2 linked regions of the Callithrix jacchus genome follow. The protein of the gene in region 1 purifies or fractionates together with the protein of each later gene. This does not show direct contact. Links are inferred from orthologs where the notes say so. Each region holds a gene or a part of one and is shown on either strand. Other genes may lie near its edges.

What was found.
Region 2: the proteins of USP13 (region 1) and BAG6 purify together in Homo sapiens (affinity purification with western blotting; 3 studies listed by BioGRID and IntAct, with this or other methods). This does not show direct contact. The link is inferred for Callithrix jacchus from reciprocal best matches to the Homo sapiens genes USP13 and BAG6.

What each region holds. Positions count from the first base shown.
Region 1 is NC_133516.1:7,987,719-7,991,527, forward strand, and holds part of USP13 (ubiquitin carboxyl-terminal hydrolase 13), read left to right. Parts: intron 1-238; coding exon 239-361; intron 362-1,876; coding exon 1,877-1,903; intron 1,904-2,824; coding exon 2,825-2,968; intron 2,969-3,809. UniProt on the Homo sapiens protein: Deubiquitinase that mediates deubiquitination of target proteins such as BECN1, MITF, SKP2 and USP10 and is involved in various processes such as autophagy, endoplasmic reticulum-associated degradation (ERAD), cell cycle progression or DNA damage response.
Region 2 is NC_133505.1:39,151,900-39,156,298, reverse strand, and holds the start of BAG6 (large proline-rich protein BAG6), read left to right. Parts: upstream 1-1,306; 5' UTR 1,307-1,395; coding exon 1,396-1,427; intron 1,428-1,515; coding exon 1,516-1,636; intron 1,637-4,399. UniProt on the Homo sapiens protein: ATP-independent molecular chaperone preventing the aggregation of misfolded and hydrophobic patches-containing proteins.

The sequences.
Region 1 (3,809 bases):
GACCTCAGGCTCAAGTGATGCACTCTCGTTGGGTGTGAAATCCTGCCCCCCACTGTACTCCCCGGGTTCTCCACTGATGCCCCACCAGTCTTCACAAGTCTGCTGGTTGAGAGACGTATTCTAGGGAGTTGAAAACATCCCTTGGCTCTGCCTAGACGCGTGCATGTAGTCCCCATGCTGGTGCTATAACAAGGTGACTGTGGACAGCCCCGCGAGTGTGATCTTTCTCCTTTTGCAGATGTTTCTATTGATATGCCAGACCTGCTTGATATCAACCACCTCCGAGCCAGGGGGTTGCAGCCGGGAGAGGAGGAACTTCCAGACATCAGCCCCCCCATCGTCATTCCCGATGACTCCAAAGGTACCATCTCCTGCCAGGAGAACACGCTCGACCCTCACACCGTGTCCTCTAGGAACACTCTCCCTTTCAGCACTCTGTTGCTGCTGCCACCACCCACGGGGCGTCTGGCCGCCCTCCTGTGATGTAACCCCCGCCCCCTCAGCACACTGCAGCAGGAAACATAAAATAGACATTGCAAGAGGCACAGACCCATCATGAGTGGTGGAAATGGACAGTGTTTTTCTGTAGGGTCTTAGTCTGGGAAGCTGTGTCATTGCATACTTGGGAATACCTTTGGACAACCCAAAGGGGAAATTCAACAGTATGAGTTGGTTTTAAAAACCGTGACGGCATCTCAACTCCCCAACTCTGTTACTGCTTTGGAGAAAGGAAGAGGTTTGAGTTTCTCTTTGACTTTGTGACCCTGTCACTGGTCACTGTTCAGAATACATAACTTTTTCGTGGAAAAAGAAATGCCAGAAATAGTTGCCTCACCTTTGTGGGTTCAAAAACAGTGTCAGGAAAATCTTAGTTTAATTATTAGCTCAGTTATCCTGATTGACTCAGTTTCATTCTGGCTTTGTTCGCTCGCCCGCTTACTGTCATCTGCCTGGTGGGTTACTCAGGTAAATTAACTCGCAACGACTGAGCAAACAGTCAGTGTTATTGCTCAGCATGATCAGGTATAAAGGAAGTGCAAGGTGAGTCTAGAAGGTACAGGATGGATTCAGATAGACGTCTGTGTATGTTCTCTGATGTTGGCTCAGATGCTAAGTCATAGAGAGAGAGTTAGAGAAGGGACGTTCTAGGTCACAGAGTTCAGGTGGTTCATTAAGGGGGTTGAGGAAGGATCAGCATCAGATAAACACAGGATGGCTCATTAGTGCTGCTCCGGCTCTCTCTGATGCTCATAATAGAATCTTCGGATTGTAGTTACATAAAGCTCTTAGAAATACAGACAGAGGCTGGATACAGTGGTGCACACCTGTAATCCCAGCACTTTGGGAGGCTGAGGTGGGAGGATCACTTGAGCCCAGGAGTTCAAAACCAGCCTGGTTAGTATAGTGAGATACTATCTCTGCAAAAAATAAAAAATTTAAAAATTAGCTAGGCGTGGTGACTGGTGACATGTGCTTGTAGTTCCAGCTACTCAAGAGGCTGAGTCAGGAGGCTCACCTGAGCCCAGGAGGTTGAGGCTGCAGTGAGCCACAATTGCTGCCCCACCCTCTGGCCTGGGCAGCAGAATGAGACCCTGTCTCAAAAAAAAAAGTTTTTTTCAAGAAGAAGTAATAGGGAGGTAATAGGGAAATGGTAGTTTGTTCAGATAATGATCGGAGCGTCGTGTTGTAACTGACCTAATGCCTGAAAGCTATTGCTTTCTCTCCTCACTGAGGCTGGGGCGGTCTGTGTGGGGTTGTGGGATTGACAGCAGTGTGTAGCTCCCCAGGAGTGGGGAGGGCACGGGGGGTACCCTGGATACAGCAGGTTTTCTTTTCCTAAATCTTCTCATTTTCTGTCCTCTCCCTTAATTTCCAGATCGCCTGATGAACCAACTGATAGACCGTATGTATCTTTAAAAATGTTTCTCAAGTCTTACTGTTATTAATCTGATGAACCTGTGTGTGAGAGTTCAGTACAGAGCCATTGTTCTGTACATCTGTATGTGCTGCTTTTCCCGGGTGGGAACGATTCTCTGTCCCCTAGTCAGTGACTTGCTGATCAGGTGGCCTGTGGGGCTCAGGAGAGTGACCATTAGCATGAGGCTAAGCAGTGGGTCAGAATCTTGGCCCGCCATTCCAGTTTTTCTCCTCTTTTGGTATAATTTGAGAGCAGTGTGTACGTGTCTGTATCCGTATGTATGCACAGATTCACACACATTTCTACAAGTATCTATATGTTATTAACAAAAGGAAACAAAGCTCTTTGTGTCTGAGCCTAAGTTACTTGGTAAATCTGTCTCTCAGTGTTTTAAACTTGCATAATTAAACAAGGAACTTTTTCCTTCTATACTTAACATTTGAACTCTCCATCTCCCAGAGCTGATTGCTTCCTGTGATTGCAGATGGATGTAAAGGCCTGCAGTGACTTTCTGTGAGGTTTAAGGAACAGGCTTTATTGGCTGTAGATAGTGCTTTCTCTTCAAGTTTCAGCCACAGGAGAGGCTGCTGGAGAGGTGTTGAGGATGCTCTGAAATCGTTTCGGAATTGTTTTTCTCTAATTTCCTATGGGGAGATTTAGTGTATTGCCAGATTGGATTGTCCAGATAATTAACCTGGGTCCTATTTGGGTCAAAGATATAAACTTAGCCCAAATAGCTTAATATTTGGATGGCTTACAACAAAACTAAACAGTGAAACCGTTATTTACACCCAAGAAAACAGCGCTTTCTTTGGGTAGTGTGTGGATGAGAGCGTGATGAGCAGCTACGACAAGAAGCAATAGTGTTTCCTTTTTCACACTAGCCTGTCCTGTTGTGCTCTGTAGCATCAGACATTGATGAGTCATCAGTGATGCAGCTGGCCGAGATGGGTTTCCCTCTGGAAGCATGTCGCAAGGCTGTGTACTTCACTGGAAATATGGGCGCTGAGGTGGCCTTCAACTGGATCATTGTTCACATGGAAGAGCCAGGTAGGTGGCGGGAAAACGGAATGGCTTTGGAGTGTGACGTGACCCTCAGTGATGCTACGTCCTGGTCCTTCCCTGGCCCCTGTGGATGTATCCCTAGAAAATGACTTTACAGTTGCTCATCTGCTGCAGCGGGGGGAGAAAGCTAGTCTTTGTCTTTCTCCTTTTGTTAAAAACAACAGCTTTATTGAGATATAATTCACCCCTTTAAAGTGTGTAAGTCAGTGGCAAGAAGACCAATAGAAAGATTTGGGGTGTGCTTCTAAGAAATGCTGAGAACTTGAAAGCATGGACATGAAGAAATGGAGGCTGTTTAGTTAGCTTTTTCTTTTATCTACGTTTTTAGGCTATAATGCATATATTCATTTATGGGGTACATTCCAGTGGTTTTTAGTAAATTCAGAGTTGTGCAGCCATGACCACTATCTAACTTTAGCACATTTTGTACCCTCTAAAAGAAACCTCGTGTATTAGCAGTCACTCCCCATTTTCCCACTCACCCTGGGAATCTGTTTTCTGGATCAAGGGATCTGCCTGTTTTGGACATTTCGCATAAATGGAGTCATATATATGAGATCTTTTGGGTTTGGTCTCTATCACAGCGTAATGTTCTCAAGATTCATCCATTTGTCGCATGTGTCAGTACTTTATTCCTTTTTATGGTAAAATAATATAGTCTATTGGGCTGGGTGTGAAGGCTCACACCTGTAATCCCTGCACTTTGGGAGGCTGAGGCAGGTGGATCACTTGAGATCAGGAGTTCAAGAGCAGCCTACTCAACATGTGAAACTCCATCTCTATTAAAAATGCAAAAATTGGCTGGGGATGGGGATGGGGGCAGGTG
Region 2 (4,399 bases), on another chromosome or scaffold:
CCTCCACCCCAGCCTTCGGAAGCACGTTGGCCGGCCTTTCAATTCCCCACCGTCAGGGTCTTGTCTTTTGGTCCACTCGGACTCCATTTGCTCCCAATTCTCAAACTCGGAGGCGCCTCATTTCTTGAAAAAAGTCCTGCGAGTTAGTAGCATGCTTAGTTTTCCTAAAACGTGTCATGTCCCCTTGGCCGCACACCGCCGACGAACGTGACACCCACAGCCCGCAAAACGCCCACCCGGCAGAACCGATATCTAGCCCAAACAACCAACCAAAACCCAAATACATCCTTGCCGCCCCCAAATGCCTACTGAAAGTAACTTCCGGTGGCGGAGAAAGAAGGGCGCAGCGAGGGCGATAGGGTCGGGAAGAGTTTTAGCTGGCTAGGACAGTGCCGCCTGAAATTCTCAGCCTGCCAAAATTTAAACATAGATTAATGTGGCATAATCCTCCATCTCCAAATCCAAGGTCCATGCGACCGTCCATAGCCCCTCTCGAAGCAGTGGTGGACTCCCATCTGGCGATTGTTTTTCAGGCATTTACAGTAGCCACCTCAATCTTCCAGCGCTCAAGAGCTCGCATAGGAGAAGCGAGAGCCGACAGAGGGGGGTGGAGCGGTGCTTCAGTGTGTACGCATACGTAGTGCAACGCACGCAGGCGTAGTACGGTCCCCTGGGCGACGGCGGCGGCGGCTCCTCGGGGTCCTCGGCTCCCTCCCACCTAGGCCGGCCCCGGCCCGACTCGCCCTCAGAAACTCACTGGGGCTGTGGACTTTCTCGTCGTGCCCCACAAAAGTAAAGCTTGGGGACCTGGGGGGAGCCGGAAGTATCGCCTTGAGATCCCCAAATACTATCGTGGAAACGGAAGTGGCCGTCGGTGGCAGGTTGGGGGAGACCGGAAGTGACGGTCCGTGGGGAAGTCGGGGGCGGAGCCGCGGGGTCGTTGGGTGTGTGTGTATGTGTGTGTGTGTGGTTGTGGTTGGCCGTAGGTTAGTTGTGCGGTTCTGCTGGAACACCGTGGGAAGGCAGTAGACGAGGGCAGTCAGCTAGCTCGTACGGCGCCCCGTGAGTGCCGTTTTGGGTCTAGTGAGTTAGGGTTCGACGGGCGTGGCGCGCGTGCGCGAAACCACTTTCTCCGCAGTGTGTGGCGCGACCCCCGCTTTCGCCTTGTCCCAGGATTTTGTGACCTCTGGGGCGTTTGTCCCGTCGTGACCGGTGATGACACTGGTCTCTGGTCTCGTGCTTTTTTCCTAATCTGACTGGCTCCCCCCTTATTGTGATTGGCATCGTGGAGCCCCTCCCACCTCTTGTCCTCCAGCTCCTATGCCGTCGATCTCCTGCCCTTTGTGTTTCTCTCCCTGTGCCCCGGAATTACAAGGGTGATGGGGGCAAGTGTGAATGTGTGTGTTTGTACAGGAGAAACTTTTTAGGTATTGGGGCAGGGATTAATGCTAGGGAGGCTTCCGGGTACACGCTGCTCTGGGAGACAACGGGCCTTTCTTCTTCATTCTTCTTTAGAGAGCTGTCGGCCATGGAGCCTAATGATAGTACCAGTACGGCTGTGGAGGAGCCTGACAGTTTGGAGGTGCTGGTGAAGACCCTGGACTCTCAAACTCGGACCTTTATTGTGGGGTCCCAGGTGAGACACCTTAGAAGTTCTGGAAGACACATTTAGATTTTCCTCTTTTAAGCCTCTTAGCCTGATTTTGTGGTCATCAGATTTTCTTTATTCTTTCTTTCTTTTTTTTTTTTTGGAGTTGGAGTCTCCCTCTGTCCCCCAGGCGGGAGTGCAGTGGCGCCATCTAGGCTCACTGCAACCTCCGCCTCCCTGGTTCAAGTGATTCTTCTGCCTCAGTTTCCCAAGTAGCTGGGACTATAGGCACCTGCCATCAGCCAATTTTTGTATTTTTAGTAGAGACGGGTTTCACCATATTGGTCAAGCTGATGTGGAACTCCTGACCTTGTGATTGGCCTGCCTCACTCTCCCAAATTGCTGGGATTACAGGTGTGAGCCATGGCACCTGGCCCTTTTTTTTTTTAATTTTTATTTATTTATTTAAAGATGGGGTTTCACCATGATGGTCAGGCTGGTCTTGAACTCCTTACCTCAGGTGATCCACCCACCTCGGCCTCCCAGAGTGCTAGGATTACAGGTGTGAGCCACCATGCCCTGCCTTTTTTTTTTTTTTTTTTGACATGGAGTCTTGCTTTGTCTCCCAGGCTGGAGTGTAGTGGCGTGATCTCAGCTCACTGCATCCTCCACTTCCCAGGTTCAAGTGTTTCTTCTGCCTCTACCTCCCAAGTAGCTGGAATTACAGCCACTACACCTAGCTAATTTTTGTATTTTTAGTAGATATGGGGTTTCACCATGTTGGCCAGGCTGATCTCAAACTCCTGACCTCAGGTGATCTGCCCACCTAGGCCTCCCAAAGTTCTGGGATTATAGGCATGAGCCACCACACCTGATCTCAGATTTTCTTTTCATTGATTCCTTTGTTTGTATTCCAGTGGAACGTTTTCTGATGTTTTGTGAGTGAGGCTGATTTTGTTCTGTCCTCCACATGGATAGAACTTAATGCAGAGGGAAACAGAGTGAGGAAGAATCTGTGTGTCATCATCCACCCCAAAGGGACAGACATGGCTCTGGCCTTTGGGAAGGGAAACAGCGCAGGGACCCTAAGCAAGTGTATCTTATTGATAGAAAATGGTCAGGTCTGTGCTGTGTTTTTAAAGGATAGAAATCAGAACTCATAATGGAGATTGAGCCTTGATAGACTGTTGAGGGAAATTACTAATTTTTGTGGCATAGCTTGAGTCTTTTGAGCTTAAAGCCTTGGACACAGCTATCTATATCTTTATTCCTGTAATAGAGACGAATTGCATGTGAGTTGGTCCGTGGTTTTCTAAAACATGGTATTAGCTGGATATAAGAAAGCCATATATAGAGTTGTAATTAGATGCGTGTAAACACTTTATCAAGAGTAAGTCTCTAGTTAGGAAAAACGTTTTTGTTTTTATCGCTACTTTTTTTTTTTTTTTTAAGATGGAGTTTTGCTCTTGTTGCCCAGGCTGGAGGGCAGTGGTGTGATCTCAGCTCACTGCATCCTTCGCCTTTTGGGTTCAAGCCATTCTCTTGCCTCAGCTTCCCAAGTAGATGGGATTACAGACGCTTGCCACCACGCATGGCTAATTTTTTTTTTTTTTTTTTTTTTTTTGAGACAGTTTCGCTCTTGTTACCCAGGCTGGAGTGCAATGGCGCAATCTCGGCTCACCACAACCTCCGCCTCCTGGGTTCAGGCAATTCTCCTGCCTCAGCCTCCTGAGTAGGTGGGATTACAGGCACACGCCACTGTGCTCAGCTAATTTTTTGTAGTTTTTAGTAGAGATGGGGTTTCACCATGTTGACCAGGATGGTCTCGATCTCTTGACCTCGTGATCCACCTGCCTCGGCCTTCCAAAGTGCTGGGATTACAGGCTTGAGCCACCGCGCCCGGCCAGCTAATTTTTTTATTTTTAGTAGAGACAGAGTTTTATCATGTTGGCCAGGCTGGTGTCGAGCTCCTGACCTCAGGTGACGAACCTGCCTTGGCCTCCCCAAGTGCTGGAGTTACAGGTGTGATGCGCCAGGTCCTTTTTTGCTACTTTCTTAGTTTTTCTTCTTTTTTTTTTTTTTGTTTTTGTTTTTGTTTTTTGAGACGGAGTTTCGCTCTTGTTACCCAGGATAGAGTGCAATGGCGCGATCTCGGCTCACCACAACCTCCGCCTCCTGGGTTCAGGCAATTCTCCTGCCTCAGCCTCCTGAGTAGCTGGGATTACAGGCATGTGCCACCATGTCCAGCTACTTTTTGTATCTTTTTTTTTTTTTTTTTTTTTTTGAGACGGAGTTTCGCTCTTGTTACCCAGGCTGGAGTGCAATGGTGCGATCTTGGCTCACTGCAACCTCCGCCCCCTGGGTTCAGGCAATTCTCCTGCCTCAGCCTCCTGAGTAGCTGGGATTACAGGCATGCGCCACTGTGCCCGGCTAATTTTTTTGTAATTTTTAGTAGAGACGGGGTTTCACCATGTTGACCAGGATGGTCTCAATCTGTTGACCTCGTGATCCACCCGCCTCGGCCTTCCAAAGTGCTGGGATTACAGGCTTGAGCCACCGCGCCCGGCCAATTTTTTGTATCTTTAGTAGAGACGGGGTTTCACTAATTTGACCAGGAGAGTCTCGATCTCTTGACCTCGTGATCCACCCGCCTTGGCCTCCCAAAGTGCTGGGATTTCAGGCTTGAGCCATCGTGCCTGGCCAGTTTTTCTTCATTAACCTGATTCCAGACCCCATCTTCTTTGCCATTTTTTAATCTTGGGAATTATAGGAGAGTCTGATAAATAAACTCCTGGTATCATTTTGTGTTTG